7 linked regions of the Ovis aries genome follow. The protein of the gene in region 1 interacts with the protein of each later gene in a biochemical or structural test. Links are inferred from orthologs where the notes say so. Each region holds a gene or a part of one and is shown in the gene's direction. Other genes may lie near its edges. The genes, in order: NEDD8, NUB1, HDAC6, OTUB1, PSMD4, CUL4B and POLI.

The links.
Region 2: the proteins of NEDD8 (region 1) and NUB1 form a complex in vitro, tested with the Homo sapiens proteins (4 studies listed by BioGRID). The link is inferred for Ovis aries from reciprocal best matches to the Homo sapiens genes NEDD8 and NUB1.
Region 3: the proteins of NEDD8 (region 1) and HDAC6 form a complex in vitro, tested with the Homo sapiens proteins (2 studies listed by BioGRID). The link is inferred for Ovis aries from reciprocal best matches to the Homo sapiens genes NEDD8 and HDAC6.
Region 4: the proteins of NEDD8 (region 1) and OTUB1 form a complex in vitro, tested with the Homo sapiens proteins (2 studies listed by BioGRID, with this or other methods). The link is inferred for Ovis aries from reciprocal best matches to the Homo sapiens genes NEDD8 and OTUB1.
Region 5: the proteins of NEDD8 (region 1) and PSMD4 form a complex in vitro, tested with the Homo sapiens proteins (2 studies listed by BioGRID). The link is inferred for Ovis aries from reciprocal best matches to the Homo sapiens genes NEDD8 and PSMD4.
Region 6: the proteins of NEDD8 (region 1) and CUL4B form a complex in vitro, tested with the Homo sapiens proteins (2 studies listed by BioGRID). The link is inferred for Ovis aries from reciprocal best matches to the Homo sapiens genes NEDD8 and CUL4B.
Region 7: the proteins of NEDD8 (region 1) and POLI form a complex in vitro, tested with the Homo sapiens proteins (2 studies listed by BioGRID, with this or other methods). The link is inferred for Ovis aries from reciprocal best matches to the Homo sapiens genes NEDD8 and POLI.

What each region holds. Positions count from the first base shown.
Region 1 is NC_056060.1:20,759,894-20,762,816, forward strand, and holds the end of NEDD8 (NEDD8), read left to right. Parts: intron 1-1,188; coding exon 1,189-1,236; intron 1,237-1,404; coding exon 1,405-1,487; intron 1,488-2,053; coding exon 2,054-2,150; 3' UTR 2,151-2,423; downstream 2,424-2,923. UniProt on the Homo sapiens protein: Ubiquitin-like protein which plays an important role in cell cycle control and embryogenesis via its conjugation to a limited number of cellular proteins, such as cullins or p53/TP53.
Region 2 is NC_056057.1:115,531,670-115,535,169, forward strand, and holds part of NUB1 (NEDD8 ultimate buster 1), read left to right. Parts: intron 1-1,161; coding exon 1,162-1,268; intron 1,269-3,500. UniProt on the Homo sapiens protein: Specific down-regulator of the NEDD8 conjugation system. Recruits NEDD8, UBD, and their conjugates to the proteasome for degradation. Isoform 1 promotes the degradation of NEDD8 more efficiently than isoform 2.
Region 3 is NC_056080.1:56,256,806-56,261,047, reverse strand, and holds the start of HDAC6 (histone deacetylase 6), read left to right. Parts: upstream 1-1,442; 5' UTR 1,443-1,475; exon of another isoform or gene 1,476-1,569; intron 1,570-1,745; exon of another isoform or gene 1,746-1,924; intron 1,925-2,062; exon of another isoform or gene 2,063-2,266; intron 2,267-2,323; exon of another isoform or gene 2,324-2,442; intron 2,443-2,622; 5' UTR 2,623-2,652; coding exon 2,653-2,745; intron 2,746-2,830; coding exon 2,831-2,992; intron 2,993-3,074; coding exon 3,075-3,163; intron 3,164-4,242.
Region 4 is NC_056074.1:38,767,155-38,771,237, forward strand, and holds the start of OTUB1 (ubiquitin thioesterase OTUB1), read left to right. Parts: upstream 1-1,283; 5' UTR 1,284-1,304; coding exon 1,305-1,362; intron 1,363-3,529; coding exon 3,530-3,591; intron 3,592-3,838; coding exon 3,839-3,937; intron 3,938-4,083. UniProt on the Homo sapiens protein: Hydrolase that can specifically remove 'Lys-48'-linked conjugated ubiquitin from proteins and plays an important regulatory role at the level of protein turnover by preventing degradation.
Region 5 is NC_056054.1:101,142,646-101,146,685, forward strand, and holds the start of PSMD4 (26S proteasome non-ATPase regulatory subunit 4), read left to right. Parts: upstream 1-1,240; 5' UTR 1,241-1,255; coding exon 1,256-1,281; intron 1,282-4,040. UniProt on the Homo sapiens protein: Component of the 26S proteasome, a multiprotein complex involved in the ATP-dependent degradation of ubiquitinated proteins.
Region 6 is NC_056080.1:104,877,681-104,881,180, reverse strand, and holds part of CUL4B (cullin-4B), read left to right. Parts: intron 1-3,012; coding exon 3,013-3,117; intron 3,118-3,500.
Region 7 is NC_056076.1:54,034,412-54,037,911, forward strand, and holds part of POLI (DNA polymerase iota), read left to right. Parts: intron 1-2,092; exon of another isoform or gene 2,093-2,158; intron 2,159-2,700; coding exon 2,701-2,853; intron 2,854-3,500. UniProt on the Homo sapiens protein: Error-prone DNA polymerase specifically involved in DNA repair. Plays an important role in translesion synthesis, where the normal high-fidelity DNA polymerases cannot proceed and DNA synthesis stalls. Favors Hoogsteen base-pairing in the active site.

The sequences.
Region 1 (2,923 bases):
GTATTTAGTGAGTGAAGTCGCTCAGTCGTGTCTGACTCTCTGTGACCCCAAGGACTGTGGCCTACCAGGGTCCTCCGTCCATGGGATTTTCCGGGCAAGAATACTGGAGTGGGTTGCCATTTCCTTCTCCAGGAGATCTTCCTGACCCAGGGATTGAACCTGGGTCTCCCGCATTGTAGGCAGACGCTTTACCGTCTGAGCCAACAGTGTATTTAGCCTTTCCATTAATATTTATCGACTGCTTATATGTCAAACACCATACTTTGTGCTTAGACTGGGAAGATTGAACAGTCTCTGTCCTTTAGGAAGTTGGAGTGTAAATTGGAGAGTTTGACACTTAAAACAACTAGCTGTAATATCTATTAAAGTGCATTGGTAAAAAAAAAAAATTAAAAAAAAAATAAAGTGCATTGGTGACAAGTCATCAATCTTAAAGGGTCCCTTGAAGGTTTGAGAAAGATTGGAAGAGGGGATGGCAACAAGGAAAACAGTAGAAGCAAAGAAAATGTCCCTAAATTAGACTGTCCATTTGTAGTCTAGATTACTGTAGACTGATGCAGGTGGCGCTTTAAGAGCAAGAATGGATGGGAGATAAGATTGGATGAAGCACAGCATTTGTAAGTGTATGGTTGTGTTTTGGGTATCAGCAACCCTTAGCCTATGGAATAAGTCAAGAAGACCAGAGCTGCAATTTTAGGATTCAGGTGAAAATCTGGAGAAGATACAGGAGAATAGAATGTTGAGTTCTAGTATTGCTTAAAAAGCTGGTCAGAGGTGATCTCTAGTGTCCTTGAGAATGCTTTGAATTATCTGAGTGTTAATTTCTAGCATTAGTACATAAAACAAGGTCCTTTTCAAAGGAATACTCTCCTTAGGTCAACTCTCATTGCTGTCTTATCCAAAGGAGTTATAGTATTCTCATGGATTCTAATTGGGTGGGGAATGAGATGACCTGTGAGATTAAGAGGTCAAATGGTTTACAGACTCTTCCCCTGTCAAAGTTGTTCACAGCCTAAAAATGTCTGAAATTGGGTCTGAGCAAATACTCCTGACACTTCAAATCAACTTTGCTGAGAATGTGCATTTCTCAGGAGGGAGTCAATCCCCCAAGGCTAGGCCAGGATGTTTTACCTAGGAGACAAATTGTATACTGAACTATAAGACTTATGAAAGCCTTGCCTATTTCAGACGCTGACCGGAAAGGAGATTGAGATTGACATTGAACCCACGGACAAGGTAGTGTATGCCCAGTACCTCTCCAAGCCTATCTCCCTACATGTGCCTTTGCCTGGGTATGCTGATGAAATTAGTCCTTTTGCTCTCATGCGATCTGCATAGCTCTTGTTCTTTCCACTTCCATGGTCCCTCCCCCTGAGCAGCCCCTGACTACTTGTACCCCTAAAGGTGGAACGAATTAAGGAGCGTGTGGAGGAGAAAGAGGGGATTCCACCACAGCAGCAGCGGCTCATCTACAGTGGTAAACAGATGTAAGTATGGAATGGAAATGAAGGTATGGTGATGGGATTTTTTTTTTTGGCTATGCTAGGTCTTTGCGGCGCTGGCTTTGCTCTAGTTGAAGCGCGTGGGGTTCTCAATGCCGTGACTTCTCTTGTTGCAGAGCACCAGCTGCAGGGCGTGTGGGCTTCAGTAGTCTCAGCTCCCGGGATCTAGGGCACAGGCTCAACAGCTGTGGTACATGGGTTTAGCTGCTTCTCAGCATGTGGGATCTTTCCAGATCAGGGATTGAACCTCTGTCTCCTGCACTGGCAGGTTGATTCTCTGCCACTGAGCCACCAGGGAAGTCTGAAAATATCTCTAATTTCTCTTGTTAACAGGTTACCTATATTGCTAATTCCTCTGTGGGCTTTTGTCTGTGTTCAAAATTGAAAGAAATATCAAGTTACAGTTGGGGGTTAGTAAAAACATAAAAGATGTAATTTATTTTCTCATATGCACTCATAGATCTCCAGAGATCCATGAAACCCAGGTCAAGAGTGCCACTCTAAAGGGTGTTGCTAACAACTTGTTTTCCTGTTTTTGCCTCTTCCTGTAGGAATGATGAGAAGACGGCAGCTGACTACAAGATACTAGGTGGCTCAGTCCTCCACCTGGTGTTGGCTCTGAGAGGAGGGGGTGGTCTTAGGCAGTGATGGACTCCGCTCCGCTTGACCTCCCTGCCCTGTCACTCATAATGAGGCATCGTATATCCTCTCCCTCTGTGGGACACCAGAACCACTCCCCGCTCCCCTGGCTGCCCAGTCTTGTGTGTCTGCTGGTGGGAGACTGTGAGGACCCCAGGAGGCAGTGTTCCTGGCCCAGAGGGCCCTTGCTGGCTACTGGGTTTTAGTTTGCAGTCCTGTGTGCTTCGCTCTCTTATGGCTGTGTCCCTGGTTCTCAATAAAATATTTCTTGACCTCCTGGAATCTTTCTTCTATTGCACAAATGTGACTGAAATCAAAGTGGACCCAGGGAATTCCCCAGTGGTTCAGTGGTTAGGATTCCGTGCTTTCACTGCTAAGGGCTAGAGTTCAGGCCCTGGTTGGGGAACTAAGATCCCACAGAACCAGTCGGATCTTAGTTTTGGGTGTGGTAAAAAAAAACCCAGAACGGACCCGGTGCACACCCAGTTACACCAGGCTGAAGGACTGTGACAATGGACAGGAATGCACCCTTGGAGGAATTCTCAAACTGTAAGTGTATATACTCAGGAGTGTGCCAGAGCCAACTGTTACTTGTGCCAGAGTTAATCGCTGGCATCTTTCCCAGCCCCATATTAACTGACTTCATGTTGGTAGCTTGAAATTGGCCACGGTCAGAGTATTTACAGAAATTGACAATACAAATCAGTCCTTCCCCCCAAACTGGTTGTTAAATATCTTTCAGCATACTATTGATGTAGGTGTTAGAAACCAGGAGAGTGAGT
Region 2 (3,500 bases), on another chromosome or scaffold:
ACTTATTTTGTCTTGGAATGTTACATAAAGGACTAGGAACAGCCTTCTGTCTCCAGTTGATAAACGGAGAATGTAACCTACAATGAGCATCTCCTCCGGCTGGCCCGCCTGGAGAGTTCAGTGCAGAATGGCAGGGCCTCCCTGTCCTGGAGCAGTGGCTTCCTGTGGCAGTGCTTGTCTCGGTGTAGTTTACTTTCCTCGAGGCCACATGCCCTAGTGGATGGATCAGAATGGGGGCCAAGAAAAGCTGACAGTTGGTTCTTCCGCCTCTTCCCTCTGGCCCTGCAGCCCCGCTCTCTAATTGGAGTAAGGGGACATGGCTTTACCTTTGAGCGTATCCAAGGGGGTCTTTCTAGCCGCATCTGCAACTTGGCCCTTGAGATCAGTCTCTGAGCTGGAATCCAGTAGCTTCTTACATGAAAAGCTTTAGTGGCCGTGGGTCATGTTGATTTTAATTTTTCGATCTTTAAAGGACATTTTTGAGTAGGTTTCACTATATGGGTTACATTGTTTAAAGTTAAATTTTAATAAGAGAACTTTGTAACTCTCACTGAGTTCATTTTTTTATGGTAATTATTTTCTCACTGCAAGTATTATATCCTCATATTAAATGATAATATTTAGATCTTTGTGGAAAACCTTTACAATATTTATATAAGAATTCAAATCTAAAAATATTAATGAATTTTAAGGAAATTTGGATCGTCTTACAAAAATTGTTTCAGAAATGCTACAGTTGACAGATTCTTCAGAGAAAAACCCAATTAAGAATAGGAGGTGAAATGAATGAATGAATGTTCTTTCTAAAAAGGATACAGTCATTACTGGCTTTTTAAAAATATGTTTAGTCTTATGGATACTAGAAATAGACCCAGATCAGCAGATACTAAAATAAATTGATAGAAACAAAGGGACAGGCACATTAAATGTCCCTCAAAGGGACAGACTCACTAAATGGAATTCTTGTTTCAGTGTTTAAATGAGATGAAGCTTTAATTCTGTTTTCCTTAATTTTGACTTTTAGATTCAGTTGTGGTCTTGGTTTTTTTTTGTTTGTTTGTTTTCATGTTCTTTGATTTGTTTAGACTTAATATGCTTTTAATATAATTTGTTTTATTATAGTTTAAAGTGATGTTTTTTTAAATCCTTATTTTTCCCTAGGCCCTTATGTTAGCTATGGGATATCATGAGAAGGGCAGAGCTTTCCTGAAAAGAAAAGAATATGGAATAGCCTTGCCATGTCTGTTGGACGCTGACAAATATTTCTGGTAGGCACTTTTGTCCTTGGTGGATGCCAATTTGGAGGAGGGTGGCAGTTAGGCACAGCACCTTCCCCACCCCTGTGCACCCCAGACTTCAGGCTTCCCCCAAGATGGTCAGTGTGAAAGAATAGTTACAATGTAGACTGGCTGGTGAACTCTTTCTCCCCATTGTATTTCTAATTGATCGCTAAAGAATTTTATAAACTTAGGTACTAATTTTTTTTACAACAAGCATGTAGGATTTCATGTCTGTTTCTTATTATGCGTTGCCCGCCTGAGCTACAGCTGACTCTACAGTCCCCGTCAGCTTTTCGCCTGATCGTTTTGGTATTCACGTTTCTGATCATTCTCCAAATCCGTTGTTTCATAGGGGCTCAAAACAATGATAGCTCATTATTCCTTCTGTGTGTATTGCTGGAATTCATTTGAAAAATACTTTTCCTCATCAGTCGCTGGGTTCTCCTGAGGTACAGTTTGTACAGAAAGACAGAACAAAATGCTTGGTTTCTCCTTATTTTCTTGTTTTCAGAATAAATGAGTGCTTCCCTAGCATCTTCTAAAGATGACGTCACTGGTGTCATCCCCTGCCTTTTTTTTTTTTTTTTTTTTTTAGTGTCAGTCTGAGCTCATGGATTTTAACACATTAGATTCGTTTCAAACCTCAGTGCTTATGGTGGCCGTCTTCAGTGGGCAGGTGGTGCTGCAGCCCTTTGCCCTGATGCGGTGGTCTTTGTACTCTGCTGTCTGTTGTCCAAAGCTGGTCTAGACTCACCCTGGCTATTTCCTGCCCCAGCACTTTCTCTGGTGCCTCTTAATGGGAAATGATACTAAGACACTATGATCCAGGCAGATGGAACATTTGAGAGAGAGACTTGATGCTTGCAGTGGTCGAAAGGTAATGGCTTTAGTGTTATTTTATTTTCCATTTTGAGAAATTCCCCATACATACAGCATACTTCAAGAAGATGAATGTTGGTGTTTCTAGTTTGCCAGCTGTGCAAGTGGCACCTTGCATTTAACCAGCTTAAATGTAGGCAGAAAGGGGGATTTTTTTTTTTTTATTTCCTAAAATATTTGGGAGGCAAGGGAGTAACCAGAATGGGGGCTTGGTGCCTCTGCCGTTTTCTTCTCCTGCCTCTTTGTCTCTGCTTTTATCTGAGTGTCAGCATTATTCTCTTCTGGTACAGGCAGTGTAGGCTGTAAGTTAGTCATTAAATTCAGATACATTTTTTATTTCCTTCCACAGTCGTTTCTAACTTTCTGTTATGGAAAATCTCAAACATATATAATATTGGTGATTAATATAATGAATTCCCACAGACTTTTCATTCATCTTCAGCAGTTATCAAGACAGGGTTGATCTTGATGTGTCTAACCCTTGAAATCATTTTCAGGTCTCAGGGAACCCTTGAAAAACAATAATAACTCTCTCTTCAGTTCATAGTCCATTCACATGTTCAGTGAGTAATAGATACAATAATCCAATAATAATTATCAGCGCCTTTTTAGGTAGAAAACGCTATTTTCTGGGGAACCTGTTTACTCAGGCCAGCTCACCAGCATACTTCCTGTGCAGGTCCCCTCTCTCCGTCAGAGGTCTACTCTCAACCGAGGCAGCGTGGAGATGGAAGAGGCGTCCCTGCCTCCTTCCCCCCGTGACATCTTCCTGCCTTCTCCGAGTAGCTCGAGTTCTCTCCCAGCTCTCTGTTGCACATCTTGGGGTGTGGTGCGTAGCGGGCCTGAGAGCAGCTTCTCTCCCATTTTCAACTAGAAAGGGGAGTTCTGCTCTTGGCCAGGGTGGAGTGACAGGGACTGGGTTTCCTCTCCCCTGCCTCAACTGAAACAGGGGACAAACTGTATACAAACAGTGGTTTTCTGGCAATGCAGGACAGTGGTCCCTGAGGTGGGGAAACAAACGCAGGGGAGCCTGTGGATTGTTTTAGCTCACTGCCTGCCGTTCCAAGACCTCAGCGTGGGGAGGAGAAACCCAGGCAGGGCCTCCCGGTCTCCCCCCAGTGCACGAGCTGGAGCTCAGGGAGGAGGGAGCTGCCTGAGGGACAGCATGGTGAGTGCAGAGGGCACCCCGGGGTTCTGCCCGGTGACGTCAGCACACACCTGTGAGGGGACCCCGTCCCCCCACAGAGAATTCAGTGGGGCGTGGCAGCAGGGGGAGGACTCATTTCGCCCTCCAGACTGCTCTGGTCCCGCCTAACAAGGCATCACACCACCACCTTAGAT
Region 3 (4,242 bases), on another chromosome or scaffold:
TCCCTGTCCAGGAACATTTGCTTGACCCAGTACAAGAACACCAGAAATAACCTGACCTTTTCTATGAATCCCTATCCTCACATCTCACATAAAAGGAATGCCACTCCTCAGGAAGCATGGAACCTCTGCACTCATCCTGTAAAAGAATCCCAGCCAGATAAAGGAAACCGAAGACTGACACTGTACAGCAGGGATCCACAAACCGTGACCTTCAGGCCAAAGCCAGACTGCAACCTGTTTTTACACTTTTAAAGAGACAAAAAGAACATAAAGGAGAGAAAAGGAGGGGAAGGGATGGAGAAAAGAAAGAAAGGGAAGCAAAAGAAAGGAAAAGGAAGGAAGAGGGGGAAGGAGAACAGGAAGGAAGACAATGCCACAGTGGCCATATGTGACCTGCAAAGCGTAAAATATTTGTTATCAGCCCCTTTACAGAAAAAGTTTGCCAACGTCAGCTCTAGAGAAATCTCTCTTCTGACTATTCAGAAAAATATGGGCCTTGGCTTTTTCATGACTCCCTACTCTTTTACCCTGCATCACAGTCTCAAAATGCTCCTCAGGGTGTATCACTGTCTACATGCTTTCTTTGGTCTATGCAGAGGTTTAAAGGTCTTAAAGCTGTAACCCTCTTCCACTGGGACAAAAGACATGGTCAGGTAGGAAAAGACTGTAAGGGACGAGAAGGCTCGAACAGGGGTTTGCAAGACGGTCAGAGGACCCAGCTACCGGGCAATGGGGCTGTCAATCTGTTTGTTAGTAAGCGATGTTGAACCCCAGACTGCTTATCTCTCCCACCCCAGCCTACAGCCCAGTAGGAAATGGTGAAGAATGAGACAGGGAGATTAGGAGGACAAACTGGCTTACTGTGGGGCTGACATTTAGACATGTGATGTGAGGTAGCTGGGGATGGGGTGCACAGGGGCAACCTCCCCTACGTGCTAGGCACACACTTTCTATTACACCATGGGAGTAGAAGTGACACTGTGGAGGGCCACCGCCCAAATAAAAACTCCCCTCCTGAGGTCCATTCTGTCTCTGGGCACTATCATTATCACAATTTTCCAGATGAGGAAACTGAAGCACAGAGATGTTCAGTAACTTGCCCAAGGTCACATGGTTAAGTCACGTAACCTTAGTTTCCTCATCTGCAAAGCAGCCTCCAGGAACGACCTCATAGTATTTTGTCTTACGACAATGCCTGTCACATAATACTTGCTATTATCACAATTATTTGCCCCTACCAAGACTCCTTCTGCTCCACCAGTTTCGCGGCAGAATATTAGTATCTAACATTTGGTGAATGTTTCTTGTGCACTACCTTAGTGAACATGAACTCAGAAAATCCTCACATTTATCATCATCACCACTCCCATTTTGGCCGCCACCAGCCTTGTCCAGATTCCAACGCTTTCCAGGCACTACCACCAGCCCGCCCGGGCTACGTCATTACGGCGCGTCGCGCGGGAAGCCACGGGGAGGTGAGAAAGCGCCCCTTCCTAACGCCCTTGTTTGCTTGCTTCCACTCTTGAGTCATCGCACGGTAGGGTGGCGCGGGTCTGGAGGGGCCCTAAGGTAAGTGGACAGGGAATAAGGGACGGCGGCCATGGCCGATAGGACGACAGCGGGGGTGGTTGGGAGAGGGTCGGGCTTGAGCCCCGGCGCTTGGTCGAGCCGCCTGTAGGCGCCTCACGCAGGCGCAGTACGGCCAGCGTCGAGCGCAGAGAAGTGGAGTAGCCGATAGTGAGTCCACGGGAGGTGTGGCCCGCTGTGGGGGCGCGGCGGTGCGGCACGGTCCCCTGTGTGGGCGGAATCGGGGCGGTCTATGGAGAGACTCGGCCCAATGTAAAAGAGGGGATCACGCACCTGCGGTCGTCAGGAATTTGGAGGCTCCAGACAAGGGCGGAGTTTGAGAAAGGGGCTGCACCCGGTGAGTGGCGCGGAAGGGATTGGTCGGTGCCAATGGCGGGGCGAGAAGGAGGAGGGGCCAGCGGAAGGCGGCTCGAACTGACTGAAGGAGCTTGGTGAAGCGCTAGGGGTTGGACTTGGGTAGGGGGTGGGGCCTGTTGGAGGGAAAGAGGCAGTCCCCTGAGGAGCTGGGCTTGTCAAAACGTTAGGGTCAGGATCTAGCCAAATGGAAGGTGCTGGGCTGGCCCGATAAGGGGTGGAGTTAAGTGGATCGTTAAGGGTGGAGTCGGGGCCGGGGCCGGGGCTGGGTCTGGCTGAGTGAAAGGGTGGCTGATGATCTTGGGAGATTGGCTGGAAGGGGCAGGTTTGCGAAGGGGTGGGGTCTGCGCGAGGCTTTGGGGAATGAAAGGGTTGATAGAGCGGAAGGGGCGGAGAGAACGGACTGAGCTTGGGGGTTAATTGCTCTGTTAAAGGGCAAGACTTTGAAAGGAGAAAGAATAGTGTTAAAGGGATGGAGCCTAGTGGAATGGGCGGGACCAGGTAGGATGGACACCCGGTTGGAGGGAGAGAGCCTTGAGAGGTGGAGTTTAAAAGGCGGTCGGGAAGAGCCAGCATAAGGGAAGGAGACTAGCCTAGGGGGCGGGGTCTGGGAAGGGGCTGGTATGTGGGGTCTTCAGGGCGTTCGGGCTCCTTCACCGTCACCTCCACCCCACCCCCCAGGACCGCGTCAGGGGTGAAGTCTCCCCAGCCATGACCTCCACCGGTCAGGATTCCACCACACCCAAGGAGCGAAGGAGTAGGCACAATCCCCCCTCCCCCACCCATGACTCCAGCATCACCTCGGTGAGGCCCCCCAACCTGCCTTGATGAGGGGGAGGGGGAGCAGCGGGCTGTGCATTGGACTCTGACCCTTCTCTCTGTTTGGCAGAAGCGAGGTATTAAAAAGGGTGCCATGCTCCGCTCCAGCCCCAGTCTAGCGGAGGTAAAGAAGAAAGGCAGAATGAAGAAGCTTAGCCAAACAGCCGAGCAAGACCTCATCATGGGGCTGCAAGGGCTGGTGAGAGGCTCCTGGGACAATCAAAACCCTAAGGTTCTCCATCCTGGACAGTGTGGGATGTTCCCTCTGATTCAGGCCCTCAATGCATCAGTCTCTCCCATTTTTTTCCTCGCAGAATCTGAACCTGGAGGCCAGGACACTGTCTGGCACTGGTTTGGTGTTCGATGAACAGCTAAATGAATTCCACTGCCTCTGGGATGACAGGTGAGGCTGGCTCCTCCAGGCCACACCCAGTGCACAAATATATGCACTTAGAGCCCATTAGCAAGAATGAACCCTTTCTTACTCTAGCCTAGAGACTGGAAGCAAGTGATTTAGGGAGATGGGGATCAGGCTCGAATGGGTTCTTTTCATTTAGCCAACGAACATTTATTGAGTGCCTACTGTGTGCCAGACATGATACGAATGTGTCAGACAAGACAGACAGGGAGCTGACAAGTAGGAGAACAGGTCGCTAAATAGCCGTCAGCAACGTGAGGTATTTGGTGAAGGAGGACTTAAGACCAGGGCTTTCAAGAGTGTTTACTAGAGGACCTTAGATTAGTAACCAGGGTTCTCAGGAGGCTTCCTTGAAGAAGGGACCTTTGTGCTGAAATGGAAGAATTACACTTCCCATTCAGTCACATGTTGCAATCCATCAGCAAATTCTTTTGGCTGTTTGAAATGGATTCAGAATCTGACCTCTCCTTGCCATCTCCACTGCCACCACCATTATGACTCACCTAGACTTGCAGAGACCTCCTTGCTTCCACCCTCGCCCCTATTGCCTGTTCTCCATACAACAGCCTAAAAGAATACATACAATGATGTTCTCTCTCTTAAAGTCTTTCAAGGACAGACTGTTTCCCTGAAGGTAAAGTTTAAATTCTTCATCCTGGCCTTCAGCGTTCCATGTGACCTGGTTCCATATCACCTCCATGACCTCTTCAGCCAATCCTACCCCTCATTTGCTTCACTTCACTTCATGCACACTGATCCCCTTGCTGTTCTTCCAACATGCCTGGCATTCTCTCATCTCAGCCTCCTCTCCCAGTTAACATTCAGATCTCAAGGAGACCCTTGGAGAGGGCTTTGCCTGGCCACTCCCCTTTCCCCACACCTGAGATATTCCTAACCGATGCCATTGTTTTGTCCATTATTATTCTTATGTGGAGAATGAAATGGCAATCCACTCCAGTATTCTTGCCTGGGAAATCCCATGGACAGAGGAGCCTGGTGGGCTACCGTCTATGGAGTCGCAGAGTCGGACATGACTTAGTGACTACAACTTGCTTAAGTGTTTA
Region 4 (4,083 bases), on another chromosome or scaffold:
CGAGAAGCCCAGTGTGGTAGGAGTGGGATCCAAATGGGTAGCCCCTTTGCTTCCTTGAATTTCGAAGCAAACACAAGGATTGGTGGTGACCTAGGAAATAGTAATTTGCCATGTTGCTGGGGCAAAGACTTGGCATGTGTAGCGTTGCTGTGAGAGCGCCACTGTGGGCAGTGTGGTGAGCCCAGGCACCAACCGTCCCTACTCCAGAACTGGATGTAGCTCATGAAGATATTCATCCTATTCTGCACCTGTATTATCATGAACGGAGGGATCTGATTGGGGCTCAGACACGGCCTCCTCAAGTGCTAAGAGACCACTGTCATATCATGGAAAAGGCCCTCCATAGAGAAAGGCAAAGGAACAGTACCCCTGAAGGTGACTTCTCTAAATAACTGCATCTTCAGCATCCAAGGCCTTGACACTTTTTAAGTTTTATTTTTAGATAATTCACAGGTGATTTTAACAGAGTACACAGAAAGATCCTGGGTATCCTTTACCCACTTTCCCCCACTGGTAACATCTTGCGTTTGAAGCTACAGTACAGCATATTCCAGGATCTCCATATATATTCAAGATAAAGAGCACTTCTGTCTCCACAAGGATACTTCTGTTTCATTTTTATAACCACATCCACTTCCCTCCTTACTCCGACTCAACCCTTGGGAACCACGAATCTGTTTTTCATTGTTGTCAACTTCTATCTTAAAAAAAAAAAAAATCCTGATTTTCTCATAACCACAAGGGCAGGTAGTCCAAAGTAAGGTCGACCCCGAGGGACGTGGTCTCTCGGTCAGAAGCAGGACACCAAAGCCCGCTCGGAACCGAGACTCGGTGGAGGGGGGCGGTGAATTCCCAGAGCTCGGATATTAGCAGAATTCCCGGTCTCCTCGGCCAAGTGATCCTCATTGCATTCGCCTGTCTTGAGTTCTGGAGCCCGCAGCGGGAATTGCCTTCCGTGATTTGAATTTCATTTTCCTGCTTATCTCAATAATACAATCCGCGTTTCAAACTCTAGTGAAAAGAAAACTCAAGTGGCCCCAGGAAGCTCTTATCACCACCTGGCACATTGGGAGCCTGGAAAGATGGAACCGAGCAAGTGTGCGGGAGGAGGGCGGGCGGGGATTGCCCTCACTTCCCCGGCTTCCGCCGCCGCCGAACGAGACTGCGAGCCCCTCGGGTGACTACGCCCGAGGGGATCCCGTTGCTAGGGGCGTTACCAAGGAGGGGCCTCGAGGAGGGGCTGTCTTCCGGGGGGAGGCCGACTAGTAACCCGGAAGCGGTCGGCAGTGCGGCGCTGTTTAAAGATGGCGGCGGAGGAACCTCAGCAGCAGAAGCAGGAGCCGCTTGGCAGCGACTCCGAAGGTACCGACCAGGGGAGAGCCGCCCGGCCTGGGCTAGCGGGGGCGATGCCGGATGGCCGGTTCCCGAGGAAACCAGGGCTGGGGCGGCTGGCGGCGAAGCGAGCGGAGGGCCCCTTCCCCCGCGTCCGCCGCCTCCCCTCCCCCTCACAATGGAAGGAGCCGCCGCCGCGACCCCTGGCCGGCCGGGCGGCGGGAGAGAAAGCGGGCCGGCCTCCGGCCCGCGACTCTTCCCTGTCGCGCGCTCCTGGGGCGGGGCCTAGGCCGCTCCGCCCCTCCACCCCCCGCCCAGCCCCCTCCCCGCTGGGCGTCCGGCTCCCGGGTCCCGGCTCTCCCGCCCCGGACCTGGCAGTCAGGCCCGGGCCTAGTCCGGCCCCGTCTAGTCCGCCTCCTCCAGAGCGGCCCGAGCCCGGGAGGGCGTCGAATTACGCCGGGCTGCGGAGCACAAAGGACTGGGCGGGCCGCTGGGGATGCTGCGGGCCGCCCGGGGTTGTGAGCGGCCGTAGGTGTGTGCCCAGGAGGGCAGCGCCCTTCGTTTCCGGTAGAGTCCCCTCTCCTAGCCTCGCAGCCCCTTGCTTCCTGTCTCGGCATAGTTTCCTTAGACCCCTGAAGAGTTGGACCTCTCAAAACGGTCCCACCCTCTTCTTTTCACCCCTGAGTTAGACACTGGGGACTGAGGAGGTCACTAGGGTTGGGAGGGATGGCCCAGTTGCAGTGCAGTGTCGGGGGTGGGTGGAAGCCCAGCTGAGGCCCCGGCCTGCTCAAGATCAAAAGGATTGGCCTTAAAAGTCATTTAGCACACAGCTCCCTCTCTAACCGCACACTGAAAAACAGCTTTTGGGGACCTAGACCCTCCCCCCAATCCCCGAAGGGACTGGTTTAGGATCGTGTAAGTTAAGAAAGAACCAGAGCCAGGATTCAGGTCTCCTGGCTCCTCACCAGTGGCTGCTTGGCATGGGGCCCACAGGGTGGACCCGCCCAACTCAGTGATGAGTATTGAACTACACCTCTTAAGGTACCATCTCCTCAGGGCATCACAGTGAAGGGAGGAAGGTGGTGCTATCTGTCTCTATTCACAGCTGATGATGAGCCTCTGCAGTGAGGTGCCAGGGGAGTTATTGTGGCAAAGAGCCCAGGCTTTGCAATTAGACAAACCTGGGATTGACCACAGGTCTTCCTCGTCGCGACTTCGGGCAGGTGATTTCACCTGTCTGCGTTTTTGTTCTTTGTAAAATGGGCACCACTACGAATACCCAGGATGGCAGGTGGAGGAATGGTGTGACTGAGGAAAGCAAAGCGCTCATCTAGCCGAAGATGGTCTGCTTCCTCATCTGTCTTTCCTCAATAGACCTGGCTCAGGGGCCTTCCGGGCTGCTCGGAAGTGATGTTAGAGAGCAGGGGGAGAGGGCTTGTTCGAGCTGGAAGAGTGTACCCTGGGGGGCGATCACCTTGGCCTGCTTACTTTATTTTCCACCATTTATTTATACTTATTTGGCTGTGCCAGGTCTCAGTTATGGCATGTGGGATCTAGTTCCCAGACCAAGGATCAAACTCAGTGTAAGATCGGACCCCGGGGGGCCATGATGGGCCGCCCCTTCCCTCCCCCGTCGGCGGGGGAAGTCCCTAAGGAAGGGGCCTCCCAGATCCCGGGGACCAGTGACAGCACAGTTTGCCAGCTAAAGCTGCCCCACCTCCGCCACGTAGAAGGACGTATCAGCCCGTGACGCCTCGGCCCGGCAACCTATCCAAACCCCCATCCACTAACCTGGCCATCCCTCGCAGCGTGCATATATAAACAAACTTCTAACACGTTCTGGGCGGGTCCGGGAACCCCGCCCGGGAGCGCTTCGCCATTAAAGCCTGTTAGACACTCTTTTGGTGTCCTGGTCGTCTTTTACCTAACACCCAGGCCCCCTTGCATTGGGAGCTCGGAGCCTTAGCCACTGGACCTCCAGGGAAGTCCCTGGCCTCCTCCCTTTAAAGATGAGATAACTCATGCCCAGGAAATGGAAGGACTTTGCCAAGATCCCACAGTTGGGGTGGAGCAGGGCATGATGCATGCTTCCAGATTGCACGTCTGCTCTCCTGGCCCGTTCTTGTCCTCGGCCCAGCTTCCTGGAGTGGGGAGAGCCAGGGCCCACTGTAATACTTGGCCTTCTTCCTTTTTCCAGGTGTTAACTGTCTTGCTTATGATGAAGCCATCATGGCTCAGCAGGACCGAATTCAGCAAGAGGTGAGTGGCTGTGGCCAGTGGCCTTACTTTGGGGATACATTGGTTGGACTGAGGCCTACCGTTTGTCTTTACTGTGGAAGCTCCCTCCTCCCCAGGCTGAGCTGATACTAGATGCCTTTATGGGGAGAATGTGAGGTCCATGTGCCGCTGGGTGACTGGCCCAGCCACTCTCAGCTAGATGTTCGGGCTGACAGGTGTGGGTCACTCCATTTGCCTGTCAGAGTGTAATGGATTCCCCATCCCACAGATTGCTGTGCAGAACCCACTGGTCTCGGAGCGGCTGGAGCTCTCTGTCCTATACAAAGAATATGCTGAGGATGACAACATCTATCAACAGAAGATCAAGGTGGGAGCCTGGCCAGGGGACAGGAAGAGCCCTCGGGTGGGGGCAGGAGCCTGGCCACTTGATACCTGCGCTTGGCTGGGCCTGGCCTCAGAGGGGTGGACGGTTGGGGAGCCCTCTGGTCACTGGTTCACAGGTTGGCAGAGTCT
Region 5 (4,040 bases), on another chromosome or scaffold:
CAAGGAACAAACTGGTGCTCTCTGCAGTGGAAGTGCAGAGTCCTAACCATTGAACTGTCAGGGAATTTCCAGCCAAGGCATTTTTAATTAAAATAATTTTATTTTTATTTTTTGGCCATACCATGACAGATGTGGGATCTTAGTTACCCCACCAGGGTATGAGCCCACAGCCCCTCCACTGAAAGTGCAGAGTCTTAATCACTGTACCACTAGAGAAATCCCTAAGACATTTTAAAATGTAATTCTTCTTTTGAGGGATGCTGCACTGGGTCTTAGTTGTGGCATGTAGGATCTATTTCCCTGACCAGGGATTGAACCTGGGGCCCCCTGCACTAGGAGCACAGTCTTAGCCACTAGACTGCCAGGGAAGTCACTAAAATGTGATTTGATTAAAAAGCGAAAGTGATTGACTAGGTTGTCTCCCATTCTTTGGGAGATTAGTTAAAATTATTGATTCATCAAACTTTTTTCTGCCTTCCTACCATATGTCAGGCTTTGTAGTGGACTTAGGGATAGCAGAGATTGACACTTCTCTTGCCCTTAATGGGGACTTCCCTGATGGCTCAGACGGTGAAGAACCTGCCTGCAGTGCAGGAGATCGGTCCGATCCCTGGATTGGGGAAGATCCCCTGCAGAAGGAAATTGCCACCCACTCCAGAATTCTTGCCTGGAGAATTCCACGGACAGAGAAGCCTGGCGGGCTACAATCCATGGAGTCGCAAAGAGGGGGACACGACTGAGCGACTAACACTTTCACTTTCTTTTGCCCTTAATGAAATGAGAAAGACAGATACACAAACAAATGCAGTTCAGAGGTATAAGTGCTTAGTAGTTTGATGAACAAAGTGCCATGGGGAACCGGGGGAGCTGGAAAGTCAGTAGTCAGTAGTCATCCCACCAGTTTTTAAAAACGATGATGCTGGAATAGACATAGCTTCAGCACTTTCAGAAGTTCCTTCACGTTTTTTCTTAGCTCTTCTCTGCAAGGAACGCCACCAGAAAACCTGAATGGCAGGGCAGGTGGAGGTGTGGCCCTCTTTTTTGTGTTACTTGGCCCCTCCCTCCGCCCCAAACAGCTCCCACTTTTTTTTTTCTTTCTGGCGGCGCCTACAACTCCCAGAAAGCAACACGGGGATGAAGGCGGAACCAGCTGGCCCAACCGAGGTCAGTGATTGGTGATGCGCGCCGGGCCAATTGGAGGAGCTGTTGTTTAGTGGTCTAGGAGAACCGGTCGGGGAGGGAGGAAGGAGGCACGATGGTGTTGGAAAGCACTATGGTTTGGTGAGGAGCCACCTCGGGCCCCCTTGGGCAGCGGGACTGGGTCGGGGGCGCCTGTAGCTCGGAGGCCAGGCGGTCCTGGGGTGGGCGAGGGGGCCTGGTGGAAGAGATGAGGCCTTGGGCCGGGAGGAAAGGAGCTCCAGCGACTCCCTGAGTCATCCCGGGGCCCCAGAGGTAGTTCCCGACGGACGGGCCCGAGGTACCCCCCTTAACCCTCAGTCCGCGGACAGTCATTGACCGGTCCTGCTATTTTTCTCCATTACAGCGTCGTCTTCTCTAGACCAGCCTACATCTGTCTTTAGCTAGAGTCCTGCTTCTCGGACTCACCGTGCTAGTCTTCTGCCTTCCTCTCCTTTTCACAATGATGGGTGTTAGGAAGAGAGTTTCAGCTCCCTTCCTTGCCCCACTCACTTGTCGCTAACTCCTTTGCTTTTCCTGGTGTTACCGTCAAAGGCACTACAAGAGTACTTTTTAAGTGTTTGTGGCTTAGTCGTTAAGTCGTGTCGGACTCTTGGCGATTCCATGGACTGTAGCCCGCTGGGCTCCTCTGTCCCTGGGATTTTCCAGGCAAGAATCCTGGAGTGGTTTGCCATTTCCTTCTCCAGAGGATCTTCCCGACCCTGGGAACGAATGCGGATTTCCTGTACTGCAGGCAGATTCTTTACTAAGCTACCTTCTAAATGTTAGGCATTTAATTTGCTTCATCTCACTTAAGCCTCACAATACTCCCTCCCTTTTACAGATGAGGATACCGCGTCTCGGCAGTTTTAAATGACTTACACAGAATCACACAGCAGGTTAAGTGGTGGAGCCTAGGTTTAAACTCAGGATTATCTGACTCAAAGACGCTTCGGCACTTATCCAGTGAGCTCTCATCAGTCTGACTTGGCTAGCTGTTAAAACTGAGGACCACACTTTTGCAAGGTTTCAAGAGTTTCTTCTAAGTGTGAGCCTGGAATGAAAACAGAATAATACACAAACACACACAAATCCCCAGTTGCATGGAACAGACACCTAAGGGTTTTCTTTTTGCTGGGTAGATACTGTTGCCAGATAGCACATAGGATGCCCAGTAAAATTTAAATTTCAGATAAACAATTATTTTTAATATCACAATGGCCATGTGTATGTCCCACATATTGGATGGGACATACTTTCACTAGAAAGTTACTGTTGTTTGTCTGAAATTCAGATTTAACTGGGAGTCCTGTATTTTCTGTTCTTTATTTGTTTTTGGCTGTGCCGGGTCTTCACTGCTTTTGCCTGGGCTTTCTATAGTTGCTGGGACCTGGGGCTACTGTTTGTTGTGGTGAGGGTTTGCAGGGTTCTGGTTGCTGTGGAACACAGGCTCTAGGCGCCGGAGCTTCAGTAGTTGTGGCACACAGGCTCAGTAGTTGCAGCTCACTTGGGCTTAGCTGCTGTGTAGCATGTGGGATCTTCCCAGACCAGGGATCGAACCCATGTTCTCTGCATTGGCAGGCGAACTCTTTACTACTGTGTCACCAGGGAATTCTGGGAGCCCTGTATTTTCATTTGCTAAATATGGCAGCCTCTGGACGAAAGCAAGTTAAGAGTAGAAAGAGGACAGGATTTGGAATCCAAAATCCTGTGTTTGGGGTACTTTCCAGCCGCATGTTCTTGAGAATGTAGTAAATCTCTCACTTTAGCTATAAAATGCGAATATAATAGTAACATCTACTCTTCTCATAGCAAGGGTAGGCAGTGTGTGTCGTGGTGCTCTGTAAACTGCAGCACTCTGCATCTGTTAGTTGCCATGATGCTTAAGAAGTCCTCAGGAAAGAATTTAAGAGGGTCCTTGAAGGGACTTAGACAAATGTTAAGGAGAGGCCATTACATGTAAGGAGAAGGGCATAAGGAAAGCTGCTGAAGTGTACATTCTCAAGGCTTGTTTAGGGAGTAGAAAATGGACTAGTGTGGCTTCATTATTAGGTTGTTGGTTGAAGGTGGTTCCCTTTTTTGGAGAAAGGGGCATGCAGCCAGGTAGAAGAGCACAGATGTCGGGTTGAGGAGGCTGAATTCTGCCCTTTACCCTTCAATGGAGGACTACTGAAAACGTTCTGAGGCTGGTGGAGCCAGAGCTATATACAAAATGGGATTTAAGAATGCTGATCTGGCTTGGGGTATGGGAGGAAAGGTTAGGTCCAGAGTGATGCACTGGCACCCTGTTGTAACAGCCCAGCCATAGAAGAGCAGTGAAAGCCACTTCTTTGCTCATGCTTTGCTGGCCCTCAGAAAGTTGTGTATATTTGATTCTGCTTGGTCTGGTGGCTCAGACTCCCAGCCAGGGAAGCTTAGGCATCTGTATTTTTTTTTTTTTTTAATGAAAATTTTATGGAATAGCTGGATAATTTTGTCAGCCCTTATTTTGATATAAAATTTTATTGGGAAAAATTACTGTTGAGTGAAAGTAGTCACAGGAAATGCATGTATTATCCTGTCTGTATAAAGTTCAATGTTGGGAAAAGCAAACTGCATTTTTTAGGGGTGCACACATAGGTGTGCAAGCATCTGTGTTTTTACCAGTGCCAGCACCGTCACCCTCAAAGTGGTTCTGATACACTCGTGACAGCAGGAGGACCGCTCTCGTGTTCTGCACAGCAGGTTCTTCCTCCCTCTCAGCTGCCCCCCCCCCCCCCCCCCCACCTCCCAGGGCTTCCTCTGACATCTTTCTTCCAGCCTTCATCCATCTGCTGGTCTTGCCCACAGCCTTTGTACTTAGTAGCTATTGCAGCTGGATGATC
Region 6 (3,500 bases), on another chromosome or scaffold:
CTCAAAACCCAAAAACTATGAGAGAGCACGTAGTGAAAAGTTTCATTTCCACTCCAACCTCCCTGCCCCAGCAAACAAATGTTATTAGGGGTATCATTCCAGAAATGTTTCATGTGTGCAAAAACAGATGTGTGGAGGTTTTCTCAATTTTCTTTTTTATATATACATAAATGATAGTAGACCACTATTCAGCACCACACCATGCAGTCCTTTGTATTTTTTTATACCTGTTAGGCAATTTCTCCATAACAATACCTGAAGAGCTTGATGGAAAAGTTCTTAAAGATGGAAAATTACTCAATCTGGTCTATATGTTAAGCAGTCAAGGCTAAATTAGAGACTAGTAAGGGGTTCTGTTCCATCTTGACCTTCAAAATTCACCTTAGATCCTCCTGCCTTGGCCTTTCCTTCTTTTATTGCTTCTAATAACTTAAACCTGGTGACAGAGGATGAGATGGTTGAATGGCTTCACCAATGCAATGGACGTGAACTTGGGCAAACTCCAGGAGATGGTGAGGGACAGGGAAGCCTGGTGTGCTGCAGTCCATGGGGTTGCCAAGAATCGGACACGACTTGGTGAATGAACAACAACAATCTTAAACCGCTTTCTAAGCACACGTGAAGCCATATGCATATAATGTGCATGCACACACACTTGGTTGCTCAGTTGTGTCCAAATGGTAACCCACTCCAGTATTCTTGCCTGGAGAATCCCATGGATGGAGAAGCCTGGTGGGCTACAGTCCACAGGGTCGCAGTCGGACATGACTGAGCGACTTCACTTTCACTTTCATTTTTCATGGACTGTAGCCTGCCAGGCTCCTCTGTCCATTGAGTTCTTCAGGCAGGAGTACTGGAGCGGGTTGCCATTTCCTACTCCAGGGCATCTTCCCAACTCAGGGATCGAACCTGCATCTCTTGAATCTCCTGCATTGGCAGGTGGATTCTCTACCATTGCTCCACCTGGGCCCAATTCTCTTTTTCTCACTATTCCCATAAGCTCTTTATCCACATCCCTCTGGGTCTTTGGAACTCCACCTCTTTACTGCTGCTCAGCAAGCCTTTCCTGACTTTTCCCTGCCATAAAGATTGAGTTAGAGACCTCACCTCTATGTTTATCCCCATCATAGCACCTAATAGTGTGTTGTAATTACATATTTTCTGACCAGTTTTCACTTTATGCTGTAAGCCTCTTCTGTGTGTAGGACACATTGCTAGTTATAAGTACATTAGTTTTTTGAATATTTATTATATTCTCCTGGTTTAGAGCCCCAGAAGTATTAAAGAACATACAGGTACATGAGCCCATGGTCTGGTCTCTTTCTGTCATTAAGGAGAGTTGGGGGCCAGGATATACACATTCAAAGATACAGTGTTGATTCAGTGACAGGTCAGTATGGTATGACTGTTGGTAGTGCCATACGAGTCATTGGTAGCTGAGACAGTTAAGGAAAGTTTATTGGAAGAAGTGGAACCTAGCTGAGTAGTAAGGGAATGTGGTATCCTGTATGAGAAGATAAACAGGTGGGATGAGAACTAACGTATGGAAGAAAGTATCACAGCAGAAGGGAATGGTAGAAGTAGGACTTGGAAAAGTACTTGAAGTGGGAAATGTGAAGAAAATGCACTACAAAGACAACTTAAGCAGGGAAACAAGAAACGCTGAGAAAATCAATCATTCAAAAGGAACACCAAGATACAATGAGAAGACTACTAAAGGAGGAAGAGAGTCCATAGGGGATCATTGTGAACCAGTCAGGCACATGAAATAAACGCACTCTTAGACATTTGTGGCCTGACCCAAGGCCCCATCGTAAGTGGTGGCCAGCAGGAACTTCGCTTCCTTATTCCTCGTTAGCTGCTGGGTCTAAGTGGTCTGCTGTTTGCTGGTAAGGTGTAGCACCTTTCCTCCTTTAGTATAAGTGGTTTCATTTAAGCTTTCTTTTCATTTATGAGTTTATTTGCTGGACCTGCATGCTGGGAATATGACTTCCAACTACATATTTATAAAATTTCAATCCAACCAACAGGACTTGGATGGTCCCTTAGAGTCAATTTTAATGGAATTTTTGCCTTCTCTTGTGGTGAGAAAGAAATCCTGGTGTTATACTTAAGTCATTACTAGTTGGAATTGTAGATTATTTCAGAGTTCTACCATGCCTGTTGTATTAAATTTGAAAGTCTTTTGATACACCTAAGAAGAAACTCAGTGAAATCTCAGTTTTGTCCTTTTGGGATTTGACTATAAAAGACCAATCCAACAATTAGAAAAAATAAAAATTCAGTATTTCTTTAGGAGTTAATGTTTATTCCATTGTGCAAAATTTTAAAATGGCTATTTAAATATTCTTAAGCTGCAGTGTTGGAGATAAATCCTTGTATAATTATTTCATTCTTATAACACTGCTTGCAACAAATTCTGGATTGCTCTGTTCAGGAAAACCAAAGAAAGTATAAATAAATTTAAATTCAGTGGTAGTTGGACTGCCCAGTGAAAGTGAAAGTCACTCAGTTGTGTCCAACTCCTTGCAACCCCATGGACTATACAGTCCATGGAATTCTCTAGGCCAGAATACTGGAGTAGGTAGCCTTTCCCTTCTCCCCAAACTATCTAATAAACAGTTGGTAAAATTATTTTTCAAACTCAAAATGGAATTCTGCTTAGAAAAACAATTAACATTTTTATGAATAAGACAGAGTTTATATGTAGCAGTTGTTATAAATTCAGTGTCTTTACAAGTGGAGAATTTGGCTTGATTCCCCCCATACTTAAACTGTACTGCCAGAATAAACAGATTTGGGGAGGGGTGGTATACTACACTGGTTATGAAAAAAGTTCACTAATTGCATTGATATTTGGTGGTTTTACCTTGTGTTTTAAATGGATGACATCCTTTTTAATAAGTTAACATGGTAGAAATAACAAATAATAGGAATTAGATGTAAATAATCAAGAAATATATATACAGAGATACATTCACTCCTTAAGAAAGTATGTGTTTAATTTTGCAGGCTGTGGAAAATCTCTGTTCTTACAAGATTTCTGCAAACTTGTACAAACAGCTGAGACAGATTTGTGAAGATCACATCAAAGCACAGATTCATCAGTTCAGAGAATATCCTTTTAAAAACAAAAAAACCTTGTATTTTCATCTTTTCCTCCCTCTGTCCCTCACTTTTTAAACCAGCTTAAAATGGAATGCCTATGTTTTGTAGATTTGTTGGGTTTTGTTCATCTTGCCTCTAGGGAAACGTAAAATTTCACTTTTTACCTCTAATTAGGGTCCAAATCTACATTGTACCACTAACGTAAATAAAATTTCTTTATGTCTTTACTCTTATTGTCCTCACAAATTTCCATTTGAGGAAAGATAATCAGGAAATAATGAACTGAAAACACAGTGCTCAATTACATCTAAGACTTGCTTTTTGTTGTTTTGTTTTGACCTTGTGGCATGTGGGTTCTTAGTTCCCAACCATAGATTGATCAAACTCATGGC
Region 7 (3,500 bases), on another chromosome or scaffold:
TGAATTTAAGACGTCTCTATAATGGAATATTATATGGCCATTAAAAATAGCTCAAATGGTATCATTTCATTTGATTCATAGAGGTATGCCTTGTTGAGTGGGTAAAAAGCAAGATGCAAAAACCTGTTATCAGGTTTTTCCATATGTGTAAGACAGTGACCCAAACACCTTCCCCCACATATGTGTATGTGTCTATGTACACTTAGGAAGAGAAAGAAGAGAGGGTGTATACTCGGTATTTAACCCTGGGTAACTTCTGGAGGGGCAGAGGTGGTGCTGAAACAGGGGGATGAGGGAAGAAGGGAGAGCCAAGCAAAAAAGACAAGACTGTACTCCCAAAATACCACTTGTGTATCTGTGCACAATTATATATATATATCTGAATATTCAGAAAATAATTTTTTCTGTACATAGAGATGATGTAATACATATAGTTGTACATCTTTGTTCTTGGTGATCTTTCACATCATCCATATAACTCTTGCCTCATTCTTTTTAATGCCTGCACAGTATTCTATTTTGTCCCAAACTTATTTAACCATTCCTTTACTGATTTGAAGACAGTATATCTCATTTTATGCCTGTTGTCCTTATGTAATCATTAATTGCATCTCCTTTCATTAAAAAAAATATCTCATTTTGGATGATAAATTATGTGGTTTCTCTTATAGTGAGGGGTTATTAGGCTCTTACCAATTTTTTGCTCTTAAAAAATATCAATATGTGCTTCAGTAGACATTTTCATATAGAAATTTTCACATACGTTCATGAAGCTATCCTTAAAGTAAGTTCCTAAAGGTTAACTGCTTGAGCAAAGATAATTTGCATTAGAAATTTGCATACTGCTCTATGATGCACTTCAGGTTTTCCCAGCACATTGTTAGTAAGTGTGAGAGTATTAGATATTCATAAAGATTTTGCCTGATAGTTGGAAAAAAAAGTAAATCGTTGTTTTGATTTGCATTTCTCTATGAGAAGTTTGAGCATTTTTTTCATGTATTTTTGGTCATTTATCTACATGTTTTGTCTTTTTTCCTTTATAATGTCAGACAAATCAGTCTAAATGATTTCTGTACCACTGCAACTCTTCACAGTGAAAAGTATCATACTAGAAAATCAATGCATAAATCTCAGTTTTTACACTGATTCTTAATTTATAAATTAGTATCTTGAAAGAATTAAAAATGCGCTAATATAATAACAAGAAATATTCTAAGCATGATTTATACATTGATAAAAAGTTATTTTGTTAATTTTTTTCATGGTGTTTTTGGAGTTGAAATAGGAATGTAGCCTAATAGTCGTATACTGAATTACCTCAGAACTATTTATGACATATAACCTTATTGTTTACTTTATACCTTTATTCTACAGTATTCCATTTTTTTCTGTAATTACAAACTCCTTTGGCTTGTGTAATCATAAGGTGTAATAAATGCATCTTGTTTATGAAATTGACATATTGACAGCCAAAAAGGTTAACTTCACAAATGGACAAGTGATTTATTCCTATGACCTAGTAATAGAACTAATGTAATCAGTCCATGTTCAGCAGTCCACCAGCTTTGTACATGATTCTGTATTTAACTTGCTTTTCTGCGTGGTAGTTAAAATTTGTCCTTTATTTTCCTTATTGTAGTATTGTTTTGATAAACGTTTATTTTTTACCTGTTACTGCTAGGCATCAGATATATACTTTTGGGAGAAAAAAAGCAAAAATTGGTGAGGGAAATTCAAAGAATTCTTTTATATGGTCAGACACATTGTCAGTTTTTCCCTCTGTTTTCTCTCAGTAGGTTGGAAGTGATTTTTGAAGGTCACTAGATCATACTGTTCCTTTATTAATTGTTTTACCCTGCTGTTTTCAGTGTTAGCACCAATAAAACAGAGCTTTCATATTATAGGACTTTTTTAGAACATAAGCATTTTTGTATAATAAGTGACTAATAAGTTATTTTCTGCTACCCAGCTGGTATCAGTAGATGATTCAGAGAGAAGTGAAAATTCTTCTTAATGGTTTCAAAGTTATTAGTTTTAATCCTAAAAATGAGACTTGATAGTCTTTTTGAACTTATTTCAAATCTTGGTTCAGTTCAATTTAGGAAACATTTGACATAAGGACTGGCATTTGTGCTAGAGGCTGGACGTTCGGATACGTGTGAGTCACGATCCGTCTCTGTCCTTAGGGAACGAGTTGGAGGGTGACTAGTCAAAATGTTGCATTGTAGTATATTTTGTATTAAGGAACTTTTCTTTTTGACTTAGTATTCATTGGAAATTTAAGTTTTATTTTGTTTTGCCTTTTTAAAATTCTAGTGAAAAATATAGCCTGAGTATATTATTACTTTATTTTTCTAAGCAGACTCTATGACCTACTGCTTCAAGATTATAATTAACTATGTTCATTGATATTTAATGTACTACAGATAAATTATTGGTGTAGGAGATTGTGGTAAATATATTGCTATGAGTATCTGCCCAGGAAATGTTATTTTTGGACTTATTTTATTGGAACATATTGCTTTTGCGCAGAATATGGCACAGGAAAAAAAATCCCAGTTAACTGACTTTATTCAAGATATTGTGTAATTGTGAATATATGTAAAACCTTTATTTTGTTATTTTTTAAGCATGAATAAAAGAGTTAAATCTATTCTAGTTATAATCAGTTATATCTGCTCCAATATTATTTTAATTTAGAGTTGTTGGAAGAATTTAGTCCAGTTGTTGAGAGACTTGGGTTTGATGAAAATTTTGTGGATCTAACAGAAATGGTTGAGAAGAGACTAGAGCAGCTTCAGAGTGATGAGCTCTCAGCACTGACTGTGTCGGGCCATGTATACAATAATCAATGTAAGTGGGTTCTTACGCACTCCATTTAGTAACTTAAAGTACCTGCATTTCTTAATGTTCAATCAGTTCAGTGAGTTGACTGTGTCTTTCAAAAGTTCTATGGCTTTTGTTGCCATAGTTCAGCCATCTAAGGTGATTAAAATTAGATATTGTTATTCCATATTAAACAGGCAGAAAATGGTATTTTGATGACATACAGCTCAGTGCTTTGGGCACTTTTCATTTCTCTGACACAGTCCTGTGTTAACCATTTTTAAGTGTCATACCTCTTTTAGGCCATCCTTAAGTTACAGGAGTTGGCTTCTTGGAGTAATTTTTGGTTTTCGTAAAACCATCTTAAGCAAAATTCTAGGTAGACTAAATTTGCCATTGTTGCCTCTTTGCTTGTTCACTTCTATTCTCCCAGGGCAACAAGAGCCTCCCATGTTAGCCCTTGTGGGAGCTTCCTGGCCTACCTACCGTCCTTTGTATGCTCATATTTAATCAGTTGAAATTCATCTACTTAACAATTGAAGTGCCAGTGACTGATGATATTTCCAGGGCAGTATTGTGTTTGAAAATAAGCTGCAGTCAGCTCCACTGAATATCTCCTTGGGCTGTCAAACATCTAGTGACTGCTGGTGACTTCTAGACCCTACCATGTAGAA